Tamandua tetradactyla: one gene and its partners. The protein of the gene in region 1 interacts with the protein of each later gene in a pairwise test. Links are inferred from orthologs where the notes say so. Each region holds a gene or a part of one and is shown in the gene's direction. Other genes may lie near its edges. The genes, in order: TRIM54, INPP5J, CCDC146 and CDKN1A.

Region 1 (6,964 bases):
AACCTAATTCTCTAGAACAAAAATAGTTCATGCTTTTTTTGGAGGGAGGGGTGGGGTGGGGGTATGTGAATGGCACAGGACTCAAACCTGGGTCTCCTGCATGACAGGTGAGCATTCTACCACCGAGCCATCCATGCACCCCTCATGATTCTTTTTAAGGCCATTATATGAAGTCTATAGGATGGGTTGATAATACCAAATCAAGTATATGAAAATTAAAGTTTTATAATAATGACAAAGAAATTTGTATTACTGTACAACAAATGTGTTGTGGCTTTTAAATGTTCAGATTCTTTTAAGGAAACATACATAAGACTCCTCTAGTTGTTAGTAGATGGTTTTCCTATATGAATTCTATTATAGTTTTGGTTAGACTGTTCTGGTCTCCAAAATGCCTTCTCCACACCTTCGCGCAGGTACACCCCTGCCCCAAGGCAACCCTCCATCTTTCACTTTGGTGGGTCTCAGCATCTCTTCCACCCTTCCCCATAGTGGGGTCCTAGGCGGCGAATGTCAGGGACCTCACATTTGTATAGTTTAGTGCTTTATAGTTTACAAGGGGGTATCCCAGCATTCTCCCATCTACTCTTCTCAATGAGAAACCTGGGCTGTAGATAAAGCAGAGACCAATAGCCTCTTTTAAAGATGGAGAAACGGTGACTAGTATCTTCATCTCTTGACTGCTAGCCTCACGCCTTTTTCCACTGCCTGGGTTTGGACAACCAGCTCCTCTTTGGTCACTGCAGTGTCCTCCTCCTAACGGAGCTCCCTGGCTCTCACCTACCTTCAGTGTATCCTCCTCACATAACTTTTCTAAAATGGATACTCGATTACATCATTCCTTCTGCTTAAAGCTCCTAAATGGCTTCTCATGCCCCTACGAGCAGAGTCCAGACTCTGGAGAGAGGTACACCAGGCCCTCAGGCGCTCTCCTTCCCCATTCCACTGCCTACACGCTCCCGCCAGCACCCAGCACCGCTCAGTCCTCCGGACATGGCCAATCCAGATTCACTTGTAGGCTTTTGCTGACCCCCTTCCTTTGACCTGACACACTCTTTCCTCCTTCCCTGTCCCTTTACCGGGCTCACCCTTAGTCATCCTTCAGAATTAGCAGAGACATTACTAATCCCCAAACTTCCCTCCCCCCTTAACTGCTCAGTTAGGTGCCTACAACAGGTCTTTGGGTGGCTGCCTGGTTCTCCACCATTCCCTTCAGAGGCTGTGCCCAAACCCATGCCCTTCTTTTGGAGCTGTGCTCTTCTCCCTTCCCTGGTGGGAGCTGCTGTCTTTGACTCGAGCCTCAATTTTTTTTTTTAATATATTTTTATTGAGAAATCTTTACACACATACAGTCCATACATGGTGTACAATCAGGTGGCTCACAATATCATCACACAGTTGTGTATTCATCATGATGATAATTTTTTAGAACATTTGCATCACTCCAGAAAAAGAAAAAGGAAAATAACTCATACATACCACACCCTTACCCCTCCCCATCACTGACCAATAGTATTTCCATCTATCCAATTTCTTTTACCCTTTCTCCTCCCTATTATTTATTTATACTTTTTTTAAAATCTGTCCATACCCTGGATAAAAGAGGCATCAGACACAAGGTTCTCACAACCACACAGTCACACTGTAAAAGCTACATCTTTATATGATCATCTTCAAGAATCAAGGCTACTGGAACACAACTCAACACTTTCCAGTACTTCCCTCCAGCCACTCCAATACACCATAAACTAAAAAAGGATATCTATATAATGCATAAGAAAAACCTCCAGGATAACCTCTCAATCCTGTTTGAAATCTCTCAGCCACTGAAACTTTATTATGTCTCATTTCTCTCTTCCCCCTTTTGGTCAAGAAGGCTTTCTCAATCCCTTGATTCTGGGTCCCGGCTCATCCTGGAAGTTCTGTCCCTCATTGCCAGGGAGATTTACACCCCAGGGAGTCATGTCCCACATAGAGAGGGGAAGGCAGTGAGTTCACCTGCCAAGTTGGCTTAGAGAGAGAGGACACATCTGAGGAACAAAAGAGGTTCTTGGGTGGTGACTATTAGGCCTTAGTTTATTTTTTTTTCACATTCATCATCATGATCATTTCTTAGAACATTTGCATCAATTCAGAAAAAGAAATAAAAAGACAACAGAAAAAAATTCATGCATACCATACCCCTTACCCCTCCCTTTCATTGATCACTAGCATTTCAATCTACTAAATTTATTTTAACATTTGTTCCCCCTATTATTTATTTTTATCCCATATGTTTTACTCATCTGTTGATAAGGTAGATAAAAGACGGATCAGACACAGGTTTTCACAATCACACAGTCACACTGTGAAAGCTATATCATTATTCAATCATCTTCCAGAAACACGGCTACTGGAACACAGCTCTACACTTTCAGGCAGTTCCCTCCAGCCTCACCATTACATCTTGACTAACAAGGTGATATCTATTTAATGTGTAAGAGTAACTTCCAAAATAACCTCTCGACTCTGTTTGGAATCTCTCAGCCATTGACACTTTATTTTGTCTCATTTCGCTCTTCCCCCTTTTGGTTGAGAAGCTTTTCTCAATCCCTTGAGGCTGAGTCCAACTCATTCTAGGATTTCTGTCCCACGTTGCCAGGAAGGTCCACACCCCTGGGAGTCATGTCCCACATAGACAGGGGGAGGGCAGTGAGTTTGCTTGTTGCGTTGGCTGGAGAGGAAGGCCACATGTGAGCAACAAAAGAGGTTCTCTTGGGGGTGACTCTTAGGCCTAATTTTAATTAACCTTGACCTATCCTTTGTGGGGTTAAGTTTCATATGAACAAACCCCAAGATTGGGGGCTTAGCTTATGGCTTTGGTTGTCTGCACTGCTTGTGAGAATATGAAAAAAAAATTCAACTTGGGGAAGTTGAATTTTCCCACTTTCTCACCATTCCCTGAAGGGGACTTTGCAAATACTTTTTTATTCACTGTTCAGATCACTGTGGGATTTATCAGGGCATCACTCTGGACAAACCAACAACATCTCATGCCCTACTCAAGATTCCATGTACTTATGGTGTTCAATTAAGCTGTCTACATAAGTTATATTAGGGAATTTGGCCTCATTTTAAGTAAGTTTAGCCTATCCTTTGCAGGAATAAGTTTCATAGGGGTGAACCCCAAGATCAAGGCCTAACCTATTGATTTGGTTGTCCCCACTGCTTGCGCATATATCAGAAATTCTCCAAGTGGGGAAGTTGAATATTTCCTCCTTTCTTCCCCCCAACTACGCAAGGGGACTTTGCAAATACTTCTTTATTCACTGCCGAACCACTCTGGGATTTATCGGGGCATCACATTAACCTGAGCAAGTCAACAAAACCTCACACCCTATCCATGATTCCATGTACTTAGTGTTCAACTAAACTGAACATAGGAAGTTAAATTAAGAAATGCACTACCCAAAATATAGATTTTTCACGCAATAAACATCATTCCCTTTGGTCTCACACAGAAGTTGAAGTTTTAAATAATGGATGATATCATCCTTTACCCTGTATTCTGATCTACCACAGTCCTATCCAGATTTCTTCATTCATATCTCTACTCAAAGACTGATCACTTTTTCAACTTTTTAAACAGTTCTTGCATGGGGTACTGCTGACTTTCATAGCTTCAGGGTTTTAACTCTGAGTCTCAGGTGTCATATAGATACCCGAAGTTTCTGGGAACGAGCATGCTATATACAAACAGCCAAGCCCCACTTTTGAAAGGGGAACACATGACCCAGCAGGGCCAATCATATTACTTTGCTCCATAGGTCTCAGCAGTTGGTCCAAAGTCTGAGCATCTGCCCCAAGCTGGGCCAATCAGAGTCTCCTCAGAAATTTTCAAAATTTTCAGATTGGCTGAGAGAAACCCATTCTTCTTAGAGTGGGAGAAGATGAGGCTGGGGGGATATCAGCCAGGAGTTGGTCATACCCACTGATACCCTTTCCACCACCACTTGTTGCATGGAAGGAAGTTGTGCTGTGGTTTGTTTCCAGCCCACTTTTGCAGCCAAAAGCAACCTGTGTGACAGAATAGCCTTTTTTTCTGATTCAGGGCACATTGGATTTCAAGAATCAGAAAACTGCTCACGTATGCTTAAAGAAAGAGGAGTGATCATAAGAATTTGGAGAATTTCATTTAACCTAATTGCAGGAAACACATCTAAATATGGAAAGTCACAGGTGATTACTTTCTCCATTACAATCTAAGTGTACAGGATCTTCTGGGTGTTAGGATTAGGTTCTGCTGTGACAGAAAATCCCAAACTGGCTGAAAGAAGGTAAGAATTAGTGTTTTCTCTCAAGTGTAAGTATGGGCAGGCAGACCAGGACTGCTGCTGTGACACCATGCTCATCAGAGGTCTGCTCCTTTTATCTTGCTGCCCTTCTCGGCATGTGGTACCATCTCATGGTTCAAGACAGCTGCTTCATCTCCAGCCATCCCACATTCATTCCAGCCAGCAGGAAGGAGAAAAGGGCAGGAGTAGGGTGTGTGCATTTCCATTAAAGATACTTGCACAAAGCACTTCTGCCTATACCAAATGGCCGGGAGATAGCAACATGGCAACATCTAACGAGAAAAGAGGCTTAGATGCATGGTCTTTATTCCAGGCAGTCATGTGTCTTGCTAAAATTCAAGGACTCTATTATTGAAGAAGAAAGTGGGGTGAGGGGGTGGAGATCAAGGAATGACAAGCAGTCTCTGCCTATTTTTCCTCCTGGCTTCTCTCTACATATTGGCTCTTTTCTCTTCTCTGCAGACCTGCCTTCTCTCTAAGGCTCATAGCTTCTGCCCCCCACACCGTCTACTTCCATTTGGGTGGTCATAATGTCAGCTCTTAGCCCAACTCCATAGGCCTTTTCCAGAGCTGCACTTGCTCAAGCCACTTCAGCCTCTATGTCTCAAATCCAGATTCCTAGGAGAGAATATCTGGCCTTGCTTGGCTCAGTTGATCACCCTCTCAACTCTGAGACCATCACCTGTGGCCAGGAATAGGTAGTCCTAGGCAGGGCTCTCCCTTTTAGGATGGGAGGGAGCAAGTGCTCTAAGAAGAGGGTGTACATGGGAAGAAGCGATGAGCATCTGTGGTACATCCTCCTTCGGAGCTTACCCTTGTCATGACACCCATCCTGCAAGAGGCAGTTTTCTGTTTGCTTGTCCTTAGGACAGGGATATGCATTTTGTTCATATCTTTATCTCCTGGGACCTAGCAATTACCTGGCATACTCAGTCAATATTTACAATAGAATGAATACTCCATTCTAGTCCTTTAGAGAGGTTGAATGCTTGCCCAAGTTCACATCGTGAAACAGTGTCAGGGACAGCACCAGAGCCCAGGACTCCTGGACTCCCAGCCCCTGGAAGCATTTCCCAGAATCACCCAGCTGGTTCAGCCGGACCTCTGCTTGTGCTCCCACTCAGTTCTGCAGAGAACCCACTCAGGGTCCATTTCTTATCTTAGCTCTCCTATCCAGGCCAGTTTCTCCCTATAGCTCCATGCCAGGCCCCTTTGGAGAAATCCCATCCCAACAAGGCTGTCTTAATTTCACAGCTGCTACAACAAATGCCACACAGTGGGCTGGCTTAAACAACAGGAATTTATTGGCTCACAGTTTCAGAGGCCAGAAGCCTTGCTTCCTCTCAGGTTTGGTAGCATTCTGGCTGGCTGGCAATCCTCGGGGTCCTTGGCTGTCCTGTCACATGGCATGTCCTCTCCTTTCTCTTCTGGGTTCTGTTGCCTTCCACATCTACTCCTTCACATGGCTTCCTCTTCATAAAGCCTCCAGGAAGAGGGCGAAGGCCGAACCTCATCCGTTGACCACCCCTTAACCAAAATAGCATCTTCAAAAGGCCTTGGCAATGGCTTCCCACCCATAGGAACGGGCTAAGATGAAGGACATGTTTGTTCTGGGGTATGCACCTTCTACGCCTTGGCCACAGCTAAGCTCTGGACACACAGACACTCAAGGAGCTAGAGCTGAGTAGTGAGGCAGAGTGGGAAACACGATGTCTATGGCCACCCACACTTTGTTGCTCCCAGAGGAAGCCCCAGCTGTGTAAACAGGCTGATGCCTGCCCCTCCACCCTTCCCCTCCTGCTGCAGGCCCTTGGCCTCTCCTCCAGCCTCCCCCCAATTCCCTGATGCCTCGTGCTGCCTCCCCCGCAGGCCTCCAACCCCCTGTGGCAGTCCCGGGGCTCCTCCACTGTGTCCTCGGGAGGCCGTTTCCGCTGCCCTTCCTGCAGGCACGAGGTCGTGCTGGACCGACATGGGGTCTATGGCCTGCAGAGGAATCTGCTGGTGGAGAACATCATTGACATTTACAAGCAGGAGTCCTCCCGGTGAGCTGTCAGGGGTTCCCGCCTCTCCAAGGCCTGGGGCCTGGGACACAGCCAGGGAACCCATCCAGGCCAGAAAGGGAAAACAGAAACCAGCCACCTACCCACCTCTTCAACCTCTTCAGTTTGGAGATGAGAGAATGGGTTACAGACGGGGGTGGGGAAAGCGCAGAGGTGGGGGAGCGGGGGAGTGGGGGAGTGGGGAGGGATTTACCCTGGGTGCTTTGATATGGTTACGTTGGCTCAGAATATCTACCCACAGTAGCTGATGAATTATCCACCCCGGGGACATGTGCAGATCATGGCAGGAGGGCTCCCCTGAGATTTGAGATAGTTTCCCTTGTTTCCATGACAAGTGGGTCATTCCGGTTGAAGTCTGGTTGAAAGCACCTGTGAGGTCCTTGTCAGCTCTCCACGTGGGACTTCCCTGGCCCTGGGATACAGATCATGTGAGGCTCTTCCTGGATCCTGGCCTCTTCTATTCCTCTCGCTCTTTCTATTTCCCAAACTAAGAGCCCAGTGGGAGGCACCCACCAGCCCACACAGCCCCAGTTGCAGGAGCAGAGGGTGTGGTGGTGGTGGTGGTGGGTG
Region 2 (7,390 bases), on another chromosome or scaffold:
TCAGCGAGGTGCCCAATTGCTTGGTTCAGGTTGTTTATTGAAGCACTGTTTATCATGGTGAAAACTGGAGAAACAAACTAAGCGTGTTATAGCAGAGGATGAGCTACATAACAAAAGATGCCTCCATAGGATGGAAAACCTATTGTTTAAACTGTTAAAATGATGTAACATGGTATGGATCAATAGGCAGACATTATATTAACATTAAAAAAAATAGCAACAACGACAAAAAAGAAAAAGCCAATGCTATGAAACAGAAATATCAGTTTGGATTTGGGATGTTCTAGGCTGCAAGTCACAAAAGAAACCCCTATTTAAACCGGCTTAAACAATAAAGAGAATATGTTGGCGCAAATAACAACAACAGCAAAAACTGTCTAAGGGCAGGGAGGGCTTCAGATGAGTTTCAGTCTGGTGGATGAAGTCACCAAGATCTTTGCTCTCTCTGTTCTTTTTTGCACAATATCAATTTATCCTTAGACCAGTTCCCTGCATTGTGTCAAGATGGTTACCACCGGTAACCAGGGCTGCATACAGGCTTTTTCATGCACATCTCATCATGGGGAGGTCACCTTTTTTGTGTGTGTGTGTTTTTTTTTTTTTTGGTAGCTTCAGAAGAGAAAACAAATTGAAAGCTGTTAGCAAAAATCTCCTTGTATCTCACTAGTCCATCCATGATCCAATCAAGGGATGGGAATTGCTTACTGGCTTAACCAATCAAGGCCCATTCCTGAAGCTGTTGAGCGGGGTCCATTATAATCCAATTCCTGTTAAAAAGGGTAATAGGTTTCAACAGATGTTGTGGAGGCAATGTAATAGCCAATCAATTTTATAAAATATGTACATATCAATAAATTTGCCTAGAAAGAAAAAATCTAGAGGGAAACAACCCAAAAAGTCAACAGTGTTCAGTTCTTAATGGGCAAAATTATAGGTGAAATTTTTTTCGGCATTTTCTGTATTTACCTAAACACAAAGAGTAAACTTGTTTACAAAAATAATGGGACAGGGCGGACCGCGGTGGCTCAGCAGGCAGAGTTCTCACCTGCCATGCCGGAAACTCGGGTTCGATTCCCGGTGCCTGCCCATGCAAAAATAATAATAATAATAATAATAATAATGGGACATATCTCACTGGTTCCCTCTATCTCACCTCCTCCCCAGCAAGGACCCAACATAGCCAAAGCTGGAGACTCATGGAGCCTGTGGTTTTTCTGCTGATGGAGCCAAACCTCAGTGCCCTGTGGACCCATGCTGTTCGCTGGACGGATGCCACCAAACCACTCTCATTGCATTAACCAGTATGCTGTGGCCTAAAGGGGCCACAGGCTGGGCTGCTGAGGGTTTGACTAACCAGCCAGTGGAAGTGGCAGTGGAGACAGTGGCCATTACAGTACCGGGAACATTCTGGCATCAGCAGCCACACGAGTCCCAGGACAGGTCGCTGCTGGTAATCCACGCCCTTCTGTGACAGCCTGTAATGTTGGCCAAGAGCCTTCCTCTGGTAGGGCTGGAGTTGGGGCTTAGTCTGCGATGGGGTCAGTCTCAGACAAGGTCAAGGTTAGACCTTAGTCTCAGGCCAGGTTTGGAACTGAGTCTGGGGCTGGCGTCAGAGCTCAGTCAATGACTGGGCCAGGGATAGTCTGTAACCAGGATCGAGGCTCAGTTGTGACCAGGGCGAGGGCTCAGTCAGTGACCGGGCTCAGGGCACAGGGTCAGGGTTCAGTCGTGTGACCAGGCTTGGAGTTCAGTTAATGAGGGTCAGGGCTCAGTCTGGGGACAGATCTCAGTCAATGATGAGAGTTGGAACTCAGTCTCAATCTGAGATCAGGGCTTAGGTACTGGGGTTAGAGTTCACCCTGTGACTAGGGCTCAGTCTTAGGCAGGGATCAGGGCTCAGACTGGGTCCAGATTGAGGTCTCAAACTGTCATCAGCCTTAGTTGGACTGAGGTGATTAGAGTCAGGGCTCATTCGAAGGCCACACACAGTCAGAGCTCAATCTAGGTCTGAGGTAGAGGGCTCGATCAATCCCAGCATTAGGGCTCAGTTGGGATCTAGAATCAAGGACATGACCAGGGCTTGGTCTGACTCCATGCTCTGTTCTGATCCCTGGTAAAGAAGTTTCTGGAGACATGGGAGCCCAGGGCAGGTCTGTCTGCAAGAAACAAGAGCCCCCTAGCCAAACAGATCAGATGCTCGTCCCTGCAGTAAGCCTCCCCTTGCCTGCCGAAGCTGGGTGTTCTACAGCCTTCTAACCTACATGGCTCCGCTGCTCGAGATCCCCTCGCACCAGAATAAAAATAGCCACTCACTTCAGAGCAGCTGACAGCGGGTGCGGGCTGCCTGGGAGGAGGGGGAGCTCAAAAGAGGGAGGACGGATGTTTGAGCTTGGCCCCAGCTGTGTGACCTTGGGAAAGTCACTCCTCCTTGAACCCACTTCCTGGGGGACAGAATGGGGAGTGAGGATGATACCTGACCGAGAGGGTGGAAATGAGGGGCCAGGGACAAAATATATCGTACCTGTTACTAGTAAGGAACCCTCGGGTGAGGTCTTGGAAGGAAGAATGCTGCCCTATGCCCTGAATACCTCCTCCTCGGGAAGCTTTCCCTTTTGCTTACCTCTTCTATCTTCCCCCAGTACCCTGTACCATCCTGTATGCCTCGAGACATTTCCCAGCTGGTGGCCCCTGAGCTTGACCTTCCTCATGGTGGGCTTAAGTCAGAGGGGCCATTAGCCTATTCAGGCACCCCTGGGAAGGAGGAAAGAGGAAGGAAGAAGATTTCTCTCCCATTCCCTGCTCATGGTGTTTGCACTCTGAGCCAAAGGGCCAGGGGGGTATGCATCCAAATTTCGCATCCCTTCACAGCCGGAATCTTCCACACTCCTGATCTTTGCATCTGCTACTCCCTCTGTTTCCTGGGACATTTCTCCTCTTTTCTATTTGGCAACATGGGCTCTCCTTCAAAGAAGGGGTTCAACAGTCACCTTCTCTGTCTGGGGTAGTGGTGGGGGTGGAATTACCCACGACCCCCCTGGGAATCCCTGCTCTGTCTGCTACTGGTTGTGGAATCCCTGGTTTCTTCTCTCTCTGTCACATGGGGAATTTTCTCCCAATCTCACAGGGTTACTTCGGAGAGTAGCTAAAATAATCTATACCAACCGCCAGCTCTCTCCCTTCCTTTCCTTGACCCAAAAAGTCCGGAGGGTGGCACTGAGAGCTTCCAGGAGGGGCCGGGTGGGCTGTACCCTCTGCCTTGGCACACCACCACCCACCCCTCGGTATGAGGGGAAGGAGGGAGCCAGGAGGGGCCTCCGGAGACAGCCGTCTCCAGGGGGGCGGCTCTCCTTGGCAGCTGCCCCCAGCCTGCCGCCCTGAGCCCCAGAGCCTGTTATCAACCTGCTTAGTCATCACACCAGGAACTCAAAACATAGCTCCTACCCGCTCCCGGCTCAGTTGGGGTCCATCCCCCGCCCCCTTCCCCTGACAAGGCCAGGCCTGGGGTCTCAGAGCCCCTTCCTCTTCCTTCCAGACATGCAAATGCTCTGGGGCCTCAGTTTTGACATCCATTAAATGGGCGGGCTGGATAATGATGGTGATGGTGATGAGGAGAAGGAACTTACAGTAGCAGCTGCCTTTCCAGAGAGTTTGCCTGTGCCAGGCTCTGTGCTAACCACCTCATACGCATTATCTTGTTTAGTCTTCACAGCAATCTTTGCTGTTTTTATTTCCCCAACACAAATAGGAATCTGAGTCACTTGCCTAAGTAAGTCAGTGGCAGGGCCTGAAACAAGGTCACCTGCAGGGTCTGAGCTCAGGGAGGGGAGGGTGATGGAAAATCCTGTCACCCTTTTCATGCTCACTTGCATGGGATTTGCCTTGCTTTTAAAGGACACTGATGTCCCTCTACCGGCCCCAGGTGACTGAGCCCCTGGGTCTGGTTTCAGGGACCTGAATCTGTCTCCCAAGAGTGCATCAGAAGTCCAGTCTTCTTGGGGGCCTCAGTCTCTTCCTCTGTCAGATGGGGGATGGCTGAGTTCAAAGGTTCCTTCTGTCTCTTGTGGCCTTAGCACCAGCACCATGTCCATTTTCACCTCCTCGCCTGCCGCCACCATCAACACTATTACTTCCGCCCCTTCCTTCCACCACCTCTACCTTCACCATAGTCTGTGTTCTTCTTGTCACCTCCACCATTGCCAGCACCATCACCTCTCCCTCTTCCACTATGTCCATTTCCCTATCCTCATTATCATCTCTAGCATCTCCTCTCATCTGAGCCATAACTACCACCTCCACCTTTGCCAGCACCATCTCCACCACAACTCACGTCCCCCATCATAATTACCTACATCACCAGTGCCACCACCACCTTGTCACCACTGTCATCACCTCTACCATCACTGTCCACAAATCTTTCTAATATGGCCTGAGTCTCTGCCCATGCAAATTCCAGCCTCACAGAGATGCTGGCCCAGACACACAGACTAGACACTAACACCCTCAAACAGAGGTGGGAAGTTTATCCAGGACAGGAAATGAGACATCTGTCCATGCCTTTCGTGAAGGGGACCACACAGACCCATGAGGACGCAGGGGTGAGTGTTGATCAACCAGGAACATTTATGCACAAAACTCTGGACCTCTTTTGCCTAAGCTGGGTGGGATTGCTCCTCTCTAAATCATCCAGCAAATCTGGAAGAATTGGGGTTTCAAGGCTGCTTAGCAGGAAGGAATAGTGTGGAGGTCCCACAGTCATACATCCCTAACCAAATCTGACCCTTGAGTGACTCACTTTCCTCATTCATTCATTCATTCAACAACACTGCCCTGGTCCTGTTGGGTTCGAGACCCTGCGGCGTCCTGGCCAGAAGAGTTCCCAGGTCTGTTTTTGTTCTAACTATGAGTTCATCCCCCCACTGCAGGGCCCCTTTCCACCCCAATTCCCTTTCCCCAGATACTCCAACTGGCTTTTGCTGGTCTTGGGTCACTGAGGGAGCTTCCTTTCTTCTCTGGGACTCGGGAGACCTCTCTAGTTTGCTGGGTGACCTTGAGCGAAACCAGCTCCCTCCCCAGGCCTGTGTCTCCCCTTCCCAAACCATGCCCAGTGGGCACTGGGAAGGAGAATGCCGAAAGGAACTGGGTTGGGACAGGGCTGGCCATGAGGACACCGGATAGAGACTAGATATCTGCAGAAAAGGAGAGGCCAGCGCTGCTGAGGTTGAAAGGAGAAAGGGCTCTGGTGTCTGGAGCCTGAGTGCCTGGCTCTGCAATGGGAAATAAGAGGGATAGAGCCAGGATGGGGCATGGAGGGAGGGTGCAGAGGTGGGGGGGGGGGACCAAGTCCTGAAAATGGGGCAAGGGTGGGGGCCAAGGCAAACCCTGAGTTGGCAGGAACTCAGGGCGAGGAGTCAGGTTTCTCTGAGGCCCTGGAGAGGGTACTAACCTCGGAGCCTCCTGTCCCTACCTCACCTGCAGGTGTGTCAATGCCCCTCCCTGGAGCAAGGGCTGGGCAAGCCTCCAGGAGGGAGGGTGGGGACAGACTGCCTCCTCCATGCTGCCAGGTGAGACTTGGGCCAGGCCAATTAGCCCACCCCACCTCCAAGGCCTTTCCAGTAGGAGCAGCTAGCATGAGGGGTTCCCAAGGGGGAAGCCACCTGGCCCTGGCCACCTCCAGGTTGGGAAGTGGGTGCCTGTGCCTTTAAATTCTCAGCAGGTTGAAGTGGCTGATGACATCACTGGTTCCCGGGGAGCGGAGGAGCTGGAGTCAGAGCCTGAGGGAGCCCGGGCTGCCAGGGGCTGCAGACATGGAGGGCCAGAGCAGCAGTGGCAGCAGGAGGCCAGGGACCCGGGCTGGCCTGGGTCCCCTGCCTGTGCCCCATAGGCTTCCTCAAACTGGGACATCCTCCAAGGTAAGACCCCTAAATCCCAGACCGCCCCCCCCCCCGCCCAGTTCCCATCCCTGGGCCCACCCCCACCCACCCCCTAGCACTGGCACCCAGGTGCAGCTGGCTAGGGGACTAATATTCTCCTCTGACCACCAGGTAGGTTCTGGGCAGAGAGTAACCTGGGGGTTAGTGGGAGGAGGGCACAGTGACAGGACACCCAGAGAGAAATGGAGTTAGCCATCTCCGGAACCCTCCAGGAGATCTATGGACCGTGCATCGGGGGATCTAACTGGGCTCCAGCTTTGCTGTGTGACCTTGGGCAAGTTGCTAGTCTCCTCTGAGCCATTGTAAAATGAGGGGGCTTATGCCCGTAGGCTAAAACTGTGCCATCTGGGGTGTCTAAGTTATTAGTGCTGGAGGTGGCAGTGTGGGGGAAAGCACACAGTGGGGCACTTGGAGCCCAAGAAGATGCCCAAAGGCAGTTTTAGTGAGCTGAGTTTGAAGAGGGAGGTGAAGGCAGAGTTTCAGGTTCTCTGAACCAAGAAGGACACATGATACAGTTGGAACTGCATCTCTGGTGGCAGGGATAGGGCCACTCCAGGGCGAGTACAGACCTTCTTCTGCCCTCCCTGGGAAAGGACGCTTCATCCTGTCTTCTGGGGACAGGGGACATCCAAAACAGGAGATGAATGGGGAGGTGAGAGGAGGTCCCTCAGGGCCCTACTCTCCGCCACACCACCCCACCGCCAGCACTTCCCAGACATAAAAAGATACCTGCTTGTCTGTCCTCACAGGTAGGGGAGAAGGTGAGAGATAAGAGCGGGAAATAGCTTGAGCACACAAAGAGGGGCAATCCCAGGGCCAACTTGCTCTGAATGTTAGATTCATCCTCGTTGAGAACAGATGATTCCATGGGGCCCAGGGGAGTCCTAGCGAGTGTTGGGCTTATAAATGCACTGACTATGGGATGAACATTCTCTATGATACAATGTGACCAGGTGCCCTGCATTCAGCCCCTTCATTTTACAGAGAGGGAAACTGAGGCCCCGGGCACAGAGTGACTTGCCTGTGATCACACAGAAGCTCAGCTTGGAATCTGTGTGGCAGTCCCAGCTGCAAGCTCTTGCTCCTGCATGGAGCTCTGGGAATTGGATGGGTAGGGCAGAAAGGGCTGTGGCCAAGGGGATTGGGAAATCTGGGTGGGGGTGGGAGGGGACCCAAAAGGTCCTAGAAGAAGGGAAGGTTATTTAACAGACTGGTCTCAGTGTATTCAGAGTGGGCACACTTGGGGTGAGGTCAGCAGCCCTCAGCCAGGGGAGCAGCAGAGACTGCAGTGGAAGAGTTTGCCCGGGGAGGTTGGCTCCTGCCACCCAACATTCTAAGGTGGGCAGAAAGTGGGTGCTGGCTAGGAAGGCCATGGGCTTAGGCCCTTGGGTTTAGGTTCATAACTCTGCCTCATCTGTTTCCCCTCTAGGGGGTCTTAGTTTCCCCATTTGTGAAAGGGG
Region 3 (7,140 bases), on another chromosome or scaffold:
CCCTGGTCCAGGTAAGCCCTGAAACCTAGAGGGCCCAGCCTCCCTAGAACATCAGATAGTTCCATCTCCTTACCCCAGATTAGTGACAGATGCTTCCAATATGAAAAATTTAGAATGGCCATAGCCCAAACACCCCAAACAAATGACAGAAAGATCAAGGGTGATGGTGGAGTTAAATAATGAAGACAGGATTTAACAAATGAATATGAACGCTGAATCATCAAACTGATATTTCTTTTAGTCTCCAGTATCTTAAAGTAGCTAGAGGTAAAAACCTAAAATTGTGGAATTGTCACCCATGTCAAACTCTGAAATATGCTCTACAACTAATTGTGGTGCTATGCTTTGAAATTAATTGATACTTTGTATATATGTTATTTTTCACAAAAAAAGAAAAAAAAAGTCAATTGTGATGATAAAAAATATTTAAGCCTTCTAGCCTCCTATATACTGGAGAACCTAGCAGGGAAAAAAATCTGAGAGGATCGTACGGTAGCCCATGACAAACTCTGAGATCTGTCCTGTAACTACTTGCTGAAGAGTGCTTTGAAAACTATCGCTTTTTAATTTCTTTGCTTTGTATATGTTATACTATACAATAAAAAAGTTAAAAAAAGAAAACAAAAAGGTTATGTTCACAGTATTACCGAATTGTGGAGAGAGCATAATTGTCAACTCTCTCTAAAGTTAAAGGGTCTCCCCCATGGCAACAAGATCAAATGTACTGGTCTTCTATCAGTGTTTAGACTAGAACAGTTATTTTTGTTAACCTATATCATCTAAAAAGATAGGTTCCAATATTTCCTATTCACAATTTATTTTAATCATTTAATAACACTTATATACTACAAAGGATATCCTGGCACTTCTGGTGTGCAGAGAAGAAAGTAACATAGATGGAAAATAAAGAAGACAGGAGACTACAGTTAATGTAGACACTCCTGATTAAGATTATGGAAACTTCTCCCCCACTGAAAAAACACACATAGGCATTCGAGCAAGAATAAAGCAAGTTAACAAGCCATTACGACAAATCAGATAAGTCAGCTGATTCTCTCTTATATTCAGGAAGATTTAAAGATTTGTTCCTGGATTAGCATGGGTTAGTCACACAAATAATCAATCAGGATTTCAAATTCTCTCTCTAATCTTCCATACCAAAACTAATGATATGTCCATGCAGTTATATCAGAAGATATTTTAAGTAATTTTCCAAATGGGAAAAAATGCTGAAAAATAACATTTAAACTACACGGTTATGGGTAAATAACCACAGTATCTGAAGTGACTTTGGAAAATAAGGAGTCACAGATGCCATCCTTGGCTGTCAACTTATGCATCTCTGTATAATCTGATTATAAAGACACAGGGTAGAAAGGTAGAGAGAAATTAAGGAGAGACAGTGAGTGGTAGTAATGCTACTCTCACCCATTCACACTGAAGCAGGTAACAAACTGGGGGAACAGGTAGCATGAAGAAAACAGAGTAATGTTGATTTGAGGTGCCCACGTAATAAACACATGGAAATAGTTCGTTGGAAATGGGGTTCTGGCTCTAAAAGAGGAAACAACAAATTATAAGGTTTGAGAACACCATCATACATAGTATCCAATTTCATGTGTTTCCATAAAATCTTGCTTAGGCCTATTTCAATATGCAGTCTATTTTGTGCTATAATAATCATTGGCAAATCTCCCTCCCAACCCCAGATTGTTACATTGTTAATGGTAAGGTCTCTTATTCACCTAGGCTAATTAAAAGTTGGGATGCAATAAAGTGTTAGTGGTTGAGCAGTGTGATGGTTTGGGATATTGCACTCCAAAAAAAAAAAAAAAAATCAAAAACAAAAAACACGTTATTAAGCTTAATCTATTCCTGTGGATGTGACTCCATTATAAGTAGGACATTTTCATGAGTTTGCTTCAATTACAGTATGGCCCAACTCAATCAAGACAGGTCTTATTCCTAATAGTGGAGTCCTTTATACAATGCAAGAAATTCGGACAAATAGAAAGAAAGCCATAAGAAATAAGAAGCTACAAGTCAACAGACCTCAGAACCTGGAAGAGAAGGGAGAGGCCAGCAGAGACTGTATACGAACTGCTATGTGACAGAGGAGCCAAGGATCAAGGATCACTGACAGCCAGCCCTAAAAAACACTGGTCTTCTGGAAAAAAGCATCACCTTGATTTGAGTATCTCCAAGCCTCAAAACTGTGAGCTGATAAATTCCTGTTCTTTAAACTAACCCATTGTATAACATTTGCTTCACCAATGAACAAGGAAACTAAAGCAAGGATTCTGGAGTCAGTTCATATCCCAGCTTAACCATCAGTTTATATTTGAGCATTAGAAGGTAAATTCCATGAAGGTATGAATTTTTTTCTGTTTACTCACAATAAAAATTTGCTTTATGAAGCTGGCTGTATCTTAATCTGTATTTCTGAAAATGGAAACAATAGGTATTTACAGTGTAAGAAAGATTATCCTAGAAATGTTGGCTGCTCTTATTATGATCACCATCAGTACCATCATCATCAGCCTGGAAAGACCTTCCTAGAAGTGTTGCGTACACATGGATTGCACTAAGGAAAGTAACACGGAACCCAAATACCTAGGAAACATATCCTATGGACATAATCAATTGATGTTTCCCAAGCAGCCTTACCAGGCGTTTATCTTCAAAGCCCTGCTACTCTTGGAGAATTTATCTAGGCCGAAAAGAATGGTGATGTGCCACTAAGTAGTTAGGCCACTATTTTAAAACCAAACACTTTGCCTAGATTAGATATGGAGATTTTAATAGAGAGGGGTGTCCCTGGGGCAGAACCCCAAGGCTGTGATCAAGGAGAAATGTGGACGGACTGCCATACGATTGAACAGATTATCAAGAAACCTCAACCATGAAAAATAAACCTGCTTGCTGATGACAAAAGTGTAATGACAGAAACTGGAATAAGTGTCAAAGGAGACCAGAAGCGGCTTTACAAACGTTGCTTGACTTGAGTTCAGCCAATCATGTAATCATTCGATTTATAAAATTTCTACACCTAGGAACATAATTCCCAACTTTCAGTAGAACTGAAAAAAAAAGAGGCAGCTTCTCAAGGAGCCAACTAAAAATCTGGATAGAATGTCAGGTCCAAAGGGCGGCATTTACTATGTCCCCTGAATGTGCCCTGGGACCCGAAACGTTTTAACTTCACTTGCCAAACTTCAATGGCGCGTTCACCTCCACGGAGGCCTGGGGGTCTATGGTCTCAGACACGATGGTCATCTCCTTCTGCTCCTCGTCGTACCTCACCAGCAGGCCGTCCAGGTCCTTCACCCCGCCCTCCACGCCGCTCACCGCGACCAATACGCGGTCGGCGTCCGGGTAGGTGAGAGGGTCTAGAGGTCTCACGACCAAGTGGCACGGAAGCCGCGCCCACAGTCGGCCGAACGGGCTCACCAGCAGCGTCCATTCTTTCAGCGTCCGGCGCGCGGAGCAAGGCAGAGTGACTTCGGGCTCCGACTCCGGCCAGTGTTCCCCTCCACGCGAGCTGTAGGACCTCGCCTGGCAGGTCCGACACACCCCGCGCCCGGCGGCCTCGCCGACGCACACCCGGAGGTGTCGGAACAAGAGGCCGTAGCGCCCCCAACTCGTGCAGGGGCCGAACATGGCGTGCCCCTCTCGCGCTCCCTCAGATCGATTCAGTCACAGGGAAGGTCACCTGCCACGGTCGATGTGACCACTGATCCGCCTCAAGTCAAAGGGGAAACAGTTGCGAGGGTTGTGAAGCAAGAGCTAGCTCGCCCACGTTTGTGAGCAGATTTAAACCTCAACCATACAACACCCGGCGACAAAATGGAATTTCAACACTCTGAAATAGCAAAGCAGACCGGAACTCAGCAGCCACCAGTCCCCTTTCGCTAAGGCCGAGGGGATAGGTAGTTCTAGCCATCTCAGATGTCTAAGAGCACTAGGCAGCATAGAAACTAAATATCCCAGAAGGCAATGCTCAGCGTAGACTCGAGAATCTGGGTGGGTACTTGACTGGGTTCTGAAAGCAACACTCGCTGCCTCAAACCCATTGGCCATTGAAGGGGGCCGGAAGAAGCTAGATGGGAAATCCAACTGGCCAATGAAAAGTGCGGAAGGAGCAAGGTCGGCAAGTGTCTGTAGTCTCCTTGGATACCGAGGACGCGACTTCTTTGGACAGAGGGGGAGCTTTCTAGTGAGAACCAGGAGGCTAGAACCTAAAGAGAAAAATAAGACCCTAAATAAGGAGCAGGACCAAAGAAAGGAGAAGCTGCGCTTTTCAAGGTGAGAACTAGCAGCAAACTAGGAATTCAGTCTGGATGGTTAGATCCAAACTTCACTCAACTTGTGCGGAGTGTTGGCTAGATATAAAAAGCCGATTGGAGGCTTTTGAGGTAACTCCCTCTCGGGTAGTAAACACAGGAATAGCGTTAGAGTCTGGCTTTTTCTTGACTTTAGTTGATCGTAGGCCGGTCATTGGATATCTCTGGGTTTTACTTGCTCACGGTTAAAATAAGGACAACAGAGCCTTCCTGCCTTACCTCAAAGGGTTTTTGTAAGGATTAAATGAGGTAATGGTTGTGAACGTGTTGCATAGTCTACAAAAATGCAGTGTAATATACTGTATTTTTATTTTAAGAATAGCATTGACTTTTAAGTTACAAAGAAAAATATGAGCGATTACGACTTGTTTTCACAGCAACTTTGATTTATTTGGCTATCCTTAGTTTTAATGCTAAGTAAGATATTAAAAAGAGAGAGCCAACGTGGTGCTGTGGAAAGTGCAGGACACTAGGGACTAGATCCTCTTCCGGGTTCTGACGCTGTTCTGTCTTTGGACCTGTCTCTTCAACTTTAAAATAAAAGGGCTTTACTAAATGAGCCTATAAGTTATCTTTTACCTTTTATTAATTTTGGTGCAATAAAAAAATTAAAAAGAAAAGATTTATTTCCCCCTTTCCTGTGTCTCTTTCTTTCTGTGTCCCTACCTCTTCCTACAAGTTATCCCCCAAGTTGTTTAGCAAAGACACATGACAGTTTTTTAAATGCAAGAGCTGGAACTGAATGTCTTAAAAAAATAAAATAAAATAAAGCCCTTGGTCAAGTACAATGACCAAAATTACTAGGAGCAGTAGTGATAACGAGACAGAAAAACTGGGCTAAAATCCTCGTGGGCCGAAGACACAGAGTTCTTTGGTGACCATTACCTTTGTAAAAAGGCAGTATTCTCATAAGCTATCCTTTCGCTTCATTCTGCCCTCATAGGCCTCTCTCCCTCCATATTCTTTCTTGAGTGAGAACATGATAGGTGCTAACAAATGCCCACTAGTTTTGTCCTTGGCTTTGTTTCATTGTGTCATAAATATTCAGACTGGTTTTCTTCAATCTTTTTTTCTTTTTTTGCAAATCCATGGGCATAACTTTAAAAACAAAATTTTTAGGCTCTGATTTAAACAAGTTGAAAAGGTACTCAAGTTTTTCGAAGAAATGCCAGATATACATAGATTGGATACAAATCCTTGTAGATAATTCTTTTTCTGTGGTAATATTTCCTTTTTTGAGACAAATCCACGTTAATAGAATTGGCAACTAAAGTTGTCTGCGTGGCATAATCATTGTCTTCCTCTTTTTTAATAAAAAGCACAAATAAATTTGAAGAGTTTTATGATAATGAGGTGGGAAATGAGGAAAATATTGATATTAGGATTGATATAAAATAATAAAAGTTATTGATACTTTAAAAATAGACTAATGAAGTCTATTACATTTATTCCTGTACACACTTTAATAACAACTAATAAAAATACTACCTTCTGTCATAATTAACAGTGCTGAATGGTGTGTGAGTGTGATGGAAAGGGGAAGTTTAGAGTCATGTATGTCATCAGAAGGAAAGTTAGAGGTTAAAACATGGGAATATATAAAATAGTGAATCTTATGATGGACAACGTCCATGTTAACTGTACAAATATAAAAAAGTTCGTTTGCAAACGAGAGCAGGTGTATGACACTATTACAAGGAGTTAATAATAGAGGGGTATATGGGAAAAATGTACCAATCGCAAACTATGAACTGTAGTTAACAGTAATATTTTACTCTTCTTTCATCAACAGTAACAAATGTAGCAAACCAACTCTATGGGTCAATAATATGAGGGGATATGTAGTATGGGAGGATTAAAGTTTTCTTTTTTATTTTATTTCTTTTCCGGAATAAATGTTCAAAATTTGATCTTGCAGCTATGTGCCTAACCATGTCATGATACCGTGAACCACTGATTGTACACTTGGGATAGTTTCTATGCTGTGTGAATATATCTCAAACTTTCATTTAAAAATACTAAATTCTGCCTGTATAACATTATAGTTTTCAAAGCAGGTTCACATGTATTATCTCATTGTTTACTCACAAACGCTCTATGTTTAGCAAGAAAGCTATTATTATCCCCACATTATAGATGAGGAAACAGATTCAGAAAGATTAAGGTTAAAGAACAGAAGGTTTGTTCCTCTTTCCACTCTACCAAAACGTTCTTCTATCTTCCTGGCACTGTTGAAGAAAATAAGTTATTCATGGCATGAGTGGAAATTCATATTAATTTTCCCCTTGAATATAGTTTATCTGTAAACTCTTCAGTTTAAAGAAAAAATCGTTCTTGTGGTCATGAGCATATACTGCTTGTGAGAATATAAATTAGTATAAACTTTCCAGAGGATCATTCAGCAATGATAACCAAGATCCTTAAAATATGCATTTTGATATTGTACTTTTGGGGTTTTAAAGTATGCATGAAATTAAGGATGTGCCAAAAAGAAGTTCAAGGAATTTGTTTTCCAGTGTTATTTATAATAGTAGATAATTGGATCAATTTTAATAACCAGCAAAAGGGTATTACATAAATTAGTATACATCTGGAATATTATCCACCCATTTAAAATTTATGTATTTGAAGACTGTTCAGTGATATGGGAAATATTCCATAAGGTTAAATGGAAGAAGTAGAGTACCAAATTGTATGTATAATATGAACCCAATTCTGTAACAACAAGTTTAATATAAAACTATGTTGCATAGAAACAATTAGGGAAATACACAACTTGATAACAGTGGTGGGAGTA
Region 4 (7,358 bases), on another chromosome or scaffold:
TGGTGTTTCATACAATTGAAGGACCCAGGCTGATGGAAGCTCCACCATCTTGTGGCACTATCTGGGACATGAGATTTCCGGTTTGCAACAGATGTGGAGGACAGAAACACTGGAGAATTAAACCTGGGTTTTTCTTGGCCTCAACCTAAAGAGACAAATGTCACATGTGCTCATGTTGGCCAGAACTAGTCATTTGGCCCTGCCTATCTGCACGGGGGTGGGAAGGCTGGGAAGTGTAGGAAAGCACATAGAAAAATGGTTGAGCTTTATTGTCTTGGCTACATATGATAAAACTATTTAAAACAATGGAAAGTTAAACAAGATTAAAGATATTTGTTTACTTTGAGGTAGGGGAAGAAGGGACAGAACAGGAACACATAAGGAAGGTATGTCAGTGATTTGTAATGGTCTAGTTCTTGGGTCGAGCAGCAGGTATTAATTACATTATTTTTTAAGTGAACAAACGAACAGATGAATGAATAAATAGAAGAGAAGCCTCAGAAACAAGGGCACTGAAGTCTAATCTCAGAGTGCAGTCCAAAAATGGCCCTTCCATAAATATTCACTGAGCTCCCAGCTGAAGCTGCCAGATCTCAAAGGTACAAAGATGAATAAAATATGGGCTCAACATCTCTGCGTTTGCAGCTCAGAGGATGTACCAGGCACGTAAACAAAGCAGGCCAGCAATGCACAGCGGACAGGCTTGCTCTCCTGGAGCTCTGGGAACTGGAGAGAGGCCTGAAAAGGCCTCAACACCAAGGAGTCACTTAGGGTGGGTCATTGAGTGAGAGGGTGGTGGCGGTGGCAGTGGGGAGGATGGAGGGACTAGGTTGGTTAGGGAAACTCATCCCTGGAAGAGGGAAGGGTATGTGCGAAGACACAGAGAGCCCTTTGCTCCTTAAGTGGTCTATGACCACGGTACTTCCTCACCTCCTTTTAATCCCTAAATGATCTGATCAACTCATTCACACTGTAGTGGACATTGCACTGTGCCACCCAGAATCCCTCGCAGGACCCAGACATTTTCCCCACTGGATGCTGGCAGTTTTGGCTGCTGATGCTCACAGTTGAGTCCTTCTTCAGGAATAGTCCTCAGATAAGGGAGCTCCCTTGCACAAAGTCATGCATCAAGCACCCCCACCCCCGCCCCTCATTTCTGCCTTCTAAATGACTGTTGAAGGCATTGCATCCCAGCTCCAGAACTCCCAGTGGGATCACCTTAAACCTCATTAGAGCTTCTAGACTCTATCACAGCCCAGTTTCTCTCTCTGCCCAATCCTGTTTCTTGTACACCCAAACTGCTGTTGATCCTGAATGTACTTTTCAATGAACCTCCTGCATGCTAATCTCCACCTCAGAGTGTGTTTTCTGGGAAACCTACCTAAGTCAATCACTAAAGTGTAAATGACTATTAAACCCCAAGGGTTGCCTTCCCTGGGAGTGTTTGTACTATAGGAATAATAATAACTAATATTCATAAAGGGATTTCTTTGCCAAGCACTATGATAAGCACTTTGTCTATCTGATCTTATTTAACAAAGAACAGATCTAAGCCAAAGGAATGTATTTCTAATGGTGAAATTTCAATCTTTGGCAGTTGGCTTAGGAAGCTGGAAGTGTTTGTGTGGTATAACTTTTGCCACAAATATTTGTGTCTCACTGTATGATCAGTACTGACCCTTGCACTGGCTGTGTAAAGTCCCCATAAGGTCAGAGTGTGGACTCCCAGTCTAATTTTTCTTTTAAAAAATACAGGGCTTATTCTGCTCAGTAATATAATAAATCTCTGTTCTGCTTCTTCCCTTGGGCCTCACTTCTTGGGAGCCTGTGTGGAGGTGAATTCCTCTGAAAGCTGGCTGTCCCTGGTTGGGACTCCCCGAGACTCTTCTAAGAAATGGTGACATTATCCCAGCACTTCCTCTCTCTTCCCTAGCAGCTCCTGCAGCCACCGTTGGGCCCTCCTCACATCCTCCTTTCGCGGGCTTGGGCATTCCATCTTCCCTCTCCATTATCTGCTCCTCTGCCCCAGAAGAAATGCTGGTCTGGACTCTCCTGTCTCCGAAGCTGAGCCCTCTCTCCGTCTCTAAGCCTGCCTCCTGGAGAGCATGCCTTGGCAGCAGGCTGTGGCTCCATCTGTCCTCTGGCCTCCAGGAACATGTCCCAGCATGTTGAGCCCTGGCATAGAAGAGGCTGGTGGCTGTTCTGTCCTTGGGGCTGCCTACTTTGGGGCAGGGAGGAGGGTGGTAGGAGACAGGAGGTCCCCCAGAGACCCCAAGGAGAGCGTGGCCTCCTTCTCTCCAGGAGGCCCGAGTTTCTCTGAATAGAATATGTGATTTACAGCAGATTTCCTGGAGCAGGCCTGGGATCTGGCACTGCTGAGTGTATGTGTGGGTGTGTATGTGGTGGGAGTTAGATCTTGTGACCTCTACCAGCCTGCTCCTTTGCCCTCTTCAGGGGAGAAGTTTTCTTCCCCTTGAAGTGTGTGCCTGGCTACACATTCAAGTGCATGGTTGCAAACATTTTTAAACTACTGAACAGTTACTAGACATTCAGTAGATGCTTAATAAATATTTGTTGCATTCCATTATAATGGTGGTGGGGAGCTAGGAGTTATTAAAAAAAAATCATTTCCCAACAACAACAACAAAAAGAATTATTTCATTGTGAAGCTCAGTGCCACAAAACTTTAAATAATTCAATACAAGCCTTCATTAAAAGGGGGAAAAAATTCCAAAATAAACAGGCATACAATGTCAAGTCTATTTGAAATGCCCAAAAGCAGAAGGGATTCAAGGCAGGAGGAGGATATGCCTGTCCTCTGCTGGACATTGGGAAACTTAGTCCTTGGGTGGTGTGGGTGGGTCCTGAGGTCTCACATCTCTGGGGCCCTCCTGAGGTTTAGGTACAATCCTGACCTGTCTCCAGGATCAGGCAGGTGAGAGGGTCTGGGACTGTGCTCTCCCAGCCGGACCTGTGCTCCCAGCCCCACAGTAGAGAAAAAGGCCTGTCCTCCCTGAGGTCAGCCTTATTAAAGGAAGAAGACAGGGCATGTCTGGGCAGAGATTTCCAGACACTCAACAGCCCTAGATGTCAGTAATTGTAGCCACTCCAAGCATGGATTCTATTTTTTTTTTTAATGGGATTTCTGTTCAGATTAACACTCTATTCTCTGCAAAAAATAAAAAAATAAAGCAGAAACTGCAAATGTTGGAAGTGAGTGAGAGAGGCAAAGGCAAGGTGTGAGGAGGGCTGGGTGTGTGGGGTTAGGTGGGAGCAGCTGGACCCCTCACATACTTCTATATCTGACAGAAGCACCAGTGGAGAATTCCAGAATTGTCCTTCATCAGTGTCACTTCAATAAATCCCCTGGAAATGAGGTCTAGAGCTACTGAAGCAAAGGGGGCAGCAGGCAGAGCTCTGGAATGGAGGCAAAAGGGCTGTCGTAGTCATTAATTCACTGTGTGACCTGAGCCAGGTCACTTAAACTCTCTGAGCCTCAGTTTCCTCAGCAGTGAATGTGGGGTGTGTTTTTGTGGAATATCCAGGTGATAGCTCATTCACCAATGCTTCTTCCCCACCTAGCCACAATGGTTTCTTCTGCTGAGGTGAGAGTGAGGTGTGTGGGTGGGGTGGGGTGGGGGGTAAGGGGAAGCTGGTTCACTGTCCCATTTCTCCTGGAGACCTGGTTGGATCTTTCTGAGATTTATGGAATTAACTCCAATTCCCTCTTTCCCTGAGGCGATTGGCAAGCAACAACTTTGCAAGCCTTTAGTTCTCTGGGCCTCTTGTTTCTTCATCTGTAAAATAAAGGAGATTGAATTCCACTCTGGCGTCAAAACTTTGCTGGGGTGTCTGGGTACCCCAAGGTGCCGTGGAATCAGTGGTGGTGTAGTGAGACTTTTCTGGGAACTGCAAAGTGAAGGGCATCATTTTTATTATTTTTTAAGAATTTTTATAAATCTGGGTTAGGTAAATCCTTGCCCAGATCGGTCAGCAATGGGCCAGAAATGGAAAGGGGTCTCATCCTAACAATGCCGCCTTCTCCTGGCCAAAGCCCACTCACTTCCCAAACCAGAAAAAGCCCGGCTTATGGCTAAATTCATGGAGAAATGTGTCAAGCTCGCAAGCCCAGGCGCGCGGGTTGGGGGGAAGCGCCCTCTGCAGCCGACGAGGCCCCGACTCCAGTTGCTGGCGAGGAACCTGGAGCTGGGCCAGGCGCGGGCGCGGAGCCGCCCGGGCCCCTGGGGAGGGCGGTCCCCGGCGGCGCGGTGGGCCGAGCGGCCGGTCCCGCCTTTTAAGGCGTGTCCGCGCAGGGGCTATATCAGGGCTGCTCCGGGCGGCGCCAGCTGAGGTGTGAGCGGCTGCGGGAGCCGGTGGCCTGGAGATCCAGATTCCGGTGCAAGTTCATCGAGACACAGACACCCAGACGAGGTGAGGGAGCCGCGGCAGGCGACAGCACATCCTGGCCCGGAGCACTGCGCTGAACGTAGCCGCTGTGTGTGTGTGTGTGTGTGTGTGTGTGTGTGTGTGTGTGTATGTGCTGTGTTCACAGGTGTTTTTGCGGCAGGTGAATGACTTGCGTGGGTCCGTGAGTACTCGATTTGCGCGCACGGATGGCTGTAAGTGCGCATATGATGAGGGTCGGGATGTGTCCCAGACTCTAGGCGGAGCGGGGGCACGAGTCCTGGGGATCCCCAGCCAGGCGCCCCTCCCCTCGAAAATCCGCTGAAGAGAGGGAAGGCGTGGGTGGGGCCGCCCTCGAACTCTCCGCGTTGGGGAGGCGCCCCGGACCCCGCTCGTTCGCGACGTGGGGATGAGGCCGGGTTCCCGGAGGTCCCCGAAGGGGCGGGGGACGCGGAGCGAAGCAGGTTCATGTGGGCCCCGCCCCGGGACGGCTCTTGGGCCAATCAGTCCACTCAGTGTCGCCAGGGCCCTGGCCCCCGAAGTCCGGGAGCTCGACGCCGCGGTGTTCGCCGCTCGGCTGAGCGCTGAGGTCAGCGCGGGCTGTGTCCCTAGACCTCGGGAACGTGCCAGGACACGTCCCTTAAGGGCAAGTGAGGAGGTGACTCACGGTGACAAGAAGACCCTGGGGAGCGGGCCGGATGAAGTCAGAATCCCGCCCGGGCTGGGGGGCGGTGGCGCCCCCAGAAGACCCCACCCCTGCCTCTCCCTGGTGTCTGTCCGTTCATCAGCACAGTGACCCACTTGGCTGGTACAGCGTGTTCCCAGGGAAGCCGGGACACCGGGAGGTCCTGGACCGGGTTTCTAGCCCCCGCCCCGCGACGCGCCCTCGGGATCTGGGCGGGTTCCTGCCGTTCTCTGTCGGTCGGAGAAGCGCAGGGATCGGTCCCACCGCCGCCGGGAGAACCCCGTCCAGCCTGCCGGAGGGTCCGGGGCGCTGAACTCTGGGGTCCAAGCCGAGCCGGGCGCCCCGGGACAGTGGGGCACGCGGTCCACGCCGGGATGGGAGACGAGAAGGGGTCGCATCTTAGCGGTGTGGGGCGCCAAAGCTGTCTAGGGCCGGTGTCAGCCGCCCTGGGAGGCTCGGGGCGCCCCCGGCCTAGCCCAGAGCTCACTGTGCGAGGGCGACCAGCCGGAGCCGAGCAGGAGAGCCAGTCGCCCGCCCCTCGGGTGCCGCCGCCCGGCGCGGGTCACTGGGAGGCCTCCCTGTCCCGCGGCGGGTGGACACGAGTGGAAAAGAATCTCGGTACTGGATTTGGCACTTTGGGGCGCCCAGGCAGCTCCCTCCCACCCAACCTCCCTTCCTGCCGCCCTCGCTCCACGTCGCGTTTCGGGGAGGACGCGCGAGCGGTTTTGTTTTCGTTGTTCCCGTCTATTTTTATTTTCCAGGGATCTGACTCATCCTGTACTTTGGGCGTGGAGATAAGGTGGAGGGGCCAGATCTCGGCGCGCTTGTGCAGGCGCGAGTGTGTGTGTGTGTGTGTGTGTGTGTGTGCGTGCGTGTGTGACAGAGACGGCGCGAGAGTGCGCGGTTGTTTCCCAACAGCGGCGGGGGTTTCGGAAGCCTGGCGGCTCAGCGTGACGTGTTCGCGGCCCTGGCCTCCCCGCCCCGCCCCGCGCTCTCCCCCTTTCCCAGCCCAGGGGTGACGCGCCGCCGGAGTGGAAGCGGAGTTTTGGCGGGCGGGGAGCGCTTTGCAGGAAACTGACTCATCACAACTTCTCCCTCCCACCTTCCAAGGCTCGGCCCACGCACCTCCCACCCCGCGCCTGATTGATTTCCTGGAGATCGGTGCCCCCTCCCGGCCGCCGCGCGCACAGCAACCCGTCTTCCCGCGGAATCCAGCTGCGGGAATCCTTCCCGGCCGCAGTTGCTGCGCTGATCCTTTCCCCCACTCTAACCCCTTAAAAAGAGTACCCCACTGGTTCAACAGTATTTACTAAGAGATTACTGTTTACCGGGAAATTAAAATATGGCTGAACTCTGTTACTTGTTTGTAAAATCTGAGGGTTTGTGTTTCTGAGTTTTTTCTCTGAGTTGGTTGAGAGCAGGTGCTTGGTGGGGGAAGAGAGGCCCAGGAGAGCCATAAAGGAAAGAGTGGTAAGAGAGAAGATCTCTGCCCTGATTCCCGTCCCATTTTCAGCTCCTAGCAGCCAGGAGATGTCCAGCTGCCTGGTAAAGCCCTAGGCAGGCTCTTCCTCCTTGTGCCAAAGGACCTGTTGAGACTCAGAATGCCTGCTTCAGCCATCCAGTGTGCCCCCCTTGACTGGCACCCCAAGAGTGCACCCCTGCGGGGCAGTACCAAACACTTGCTTGAATCCCCTTTAATTTACATGAAGTTAGTCTGGGGACAGGGGACCCCTCAATGTTTGTGTGTGTATTTTAACTTTTTTTGTTGTGTGAAATATAACATATATACAAAAAAAGTAATAAATTTCCAAGTACATTTTAACAAGTAGTGATAGAACAGATTTTAAAGTTTGGTATGGGTTACAGATCCACGATTTTTCGTTTTTTCTTCTAGCTGCTCCAAGACACTGGAGACCAAAAGAAATATTAGTATATTGGTTCAGCAGTCATACTCATTTGTTAAATCCTATCTTCTCAATGAGGATTTTGAAAAAGCTGCCCAAGTGATGCTGATGGGTATCTCTGATTAAGAAACCTCAAAATAAGAGAGGGAGTTGGTGCCAGCACAGAACACAGAACCCAGGGCAGGCAGGCCTGGCAAATTGCTTAACTCTTCTGAGCCTTGATTCCCTCTTCTTTAAAAACAGCTAATATCTACCTTCCTTCTAAGAGGATTAATATTTGTAAAGTGCTTACAACCTCCCCTGGCACATGAAAATATATAAATAGGGTAGGCAATGGTGGCTCAGTAGCAGAATTCTCGCCTGCC

The links.
Region 2: the proteins of TRIM54 (region 1) and INPP5J interact in binary tests that used the Homo sapiens proteins (3 or more experiments, as listed by UniProt). The two-hybrid records come from large-scale screens. The link is inferred for Tamandua tetradactyla from reciprocal best matches to the Homo sapiens genes TRIM54 and INPP5J.
Region 3: the proteins of TRIM54 (region 1) and CCDC146 interact in binary tests that used the Homo sapiens proteins (3 or more experiments, as listed by UniProt). The two-hybrid records come from large-scale screens. The link is inferred for Tamandua tetradactyla from reciprocal best matches to the Homo sapiens genes TRIM54 and CCDC146.
Region 4: the proteins of TRIM54 (region 1) and CDKN1A interact in binary tests that used the Homo sapiens proteins (3 or more experiments, as listed by UniProt). The two-hybrid records come from large-scale screens. The link is inferred for Tamandua tetradactyla from reciprocal best matches to the Homo sapiens genes TRIM54 and CDKN1A.

Annotation. Positions count from the first base shown.
Region 1 is NC_135329.1:11,235,702-11,242,665, forward strand, and holds the start of TRIM54 (tripartite motif-containing protein 54), read left to right. Parts: upstream 1-3,954; 5' UTR 3,955-3,999; coding exon 4,000-4,218; intron 4,219-6,203; coding exon 6,204-6,376; intron 6,377-6,964. UniProt on the Homo sapiens protein: May bind and stabilize microtubules during myotubes formation.
Region 2 is NC_135331.1:31,638,141-31,645,530, reverse strand, and holds the start of INPP5J (phosphatidylinositol 4,5-bisphosphate 5-phosphatase A), read left to right. Parts: upstream 1-4,380; 5' UTR 4,381-4,463; coding exon 4,464-4,595; intron 4,596-5,475; coding exon 5,476-5,561; intron 5,562-5,710; coding exon 5,711-5,909; intron 5,910-6,470; exon of another isoform or gene 6,471-6,679; intron 6,680-7,390. UniProt on the Homo sapiens protein: Inositol 5-phosphatase, which converts inositol 1,4,5-trisphosphate to inositol 1,4-bisphosphate.
Region 3 is NC_135327.1:140,927,114-140,934,253, reverse strand, and holds the start of CCDC146 (coiled-coil domain-containing protein 146), read left to right. Parts: upstream 1-4,132; 5' UTR 4,133-4,305; intron 4,306-7,140. Other genes in the region: protein FAM185A, read right to left, coding at 3,210-3,660. UniProt on the Homo sapiens protein: Essential for sperm flagellum biogenesis and male fertility.
Region 4 is NC_135331.1:93,465,034-93,472,391, forward strand, and holds the start of CDKN1A (cyclin-dependent kinase inhibitor 1), read left to right. Parts: upstream 1-4,339; 5' UTR 4,340-4,431; intron 4,432-7,358. UniProt on the Homo sapiens protein: Plays an important role in controlling cell cycle progression and DNA damage-induced G2 arrest. Involved in p53/TP53 mediated inhibition of cellular proliferation in response to DNA damage.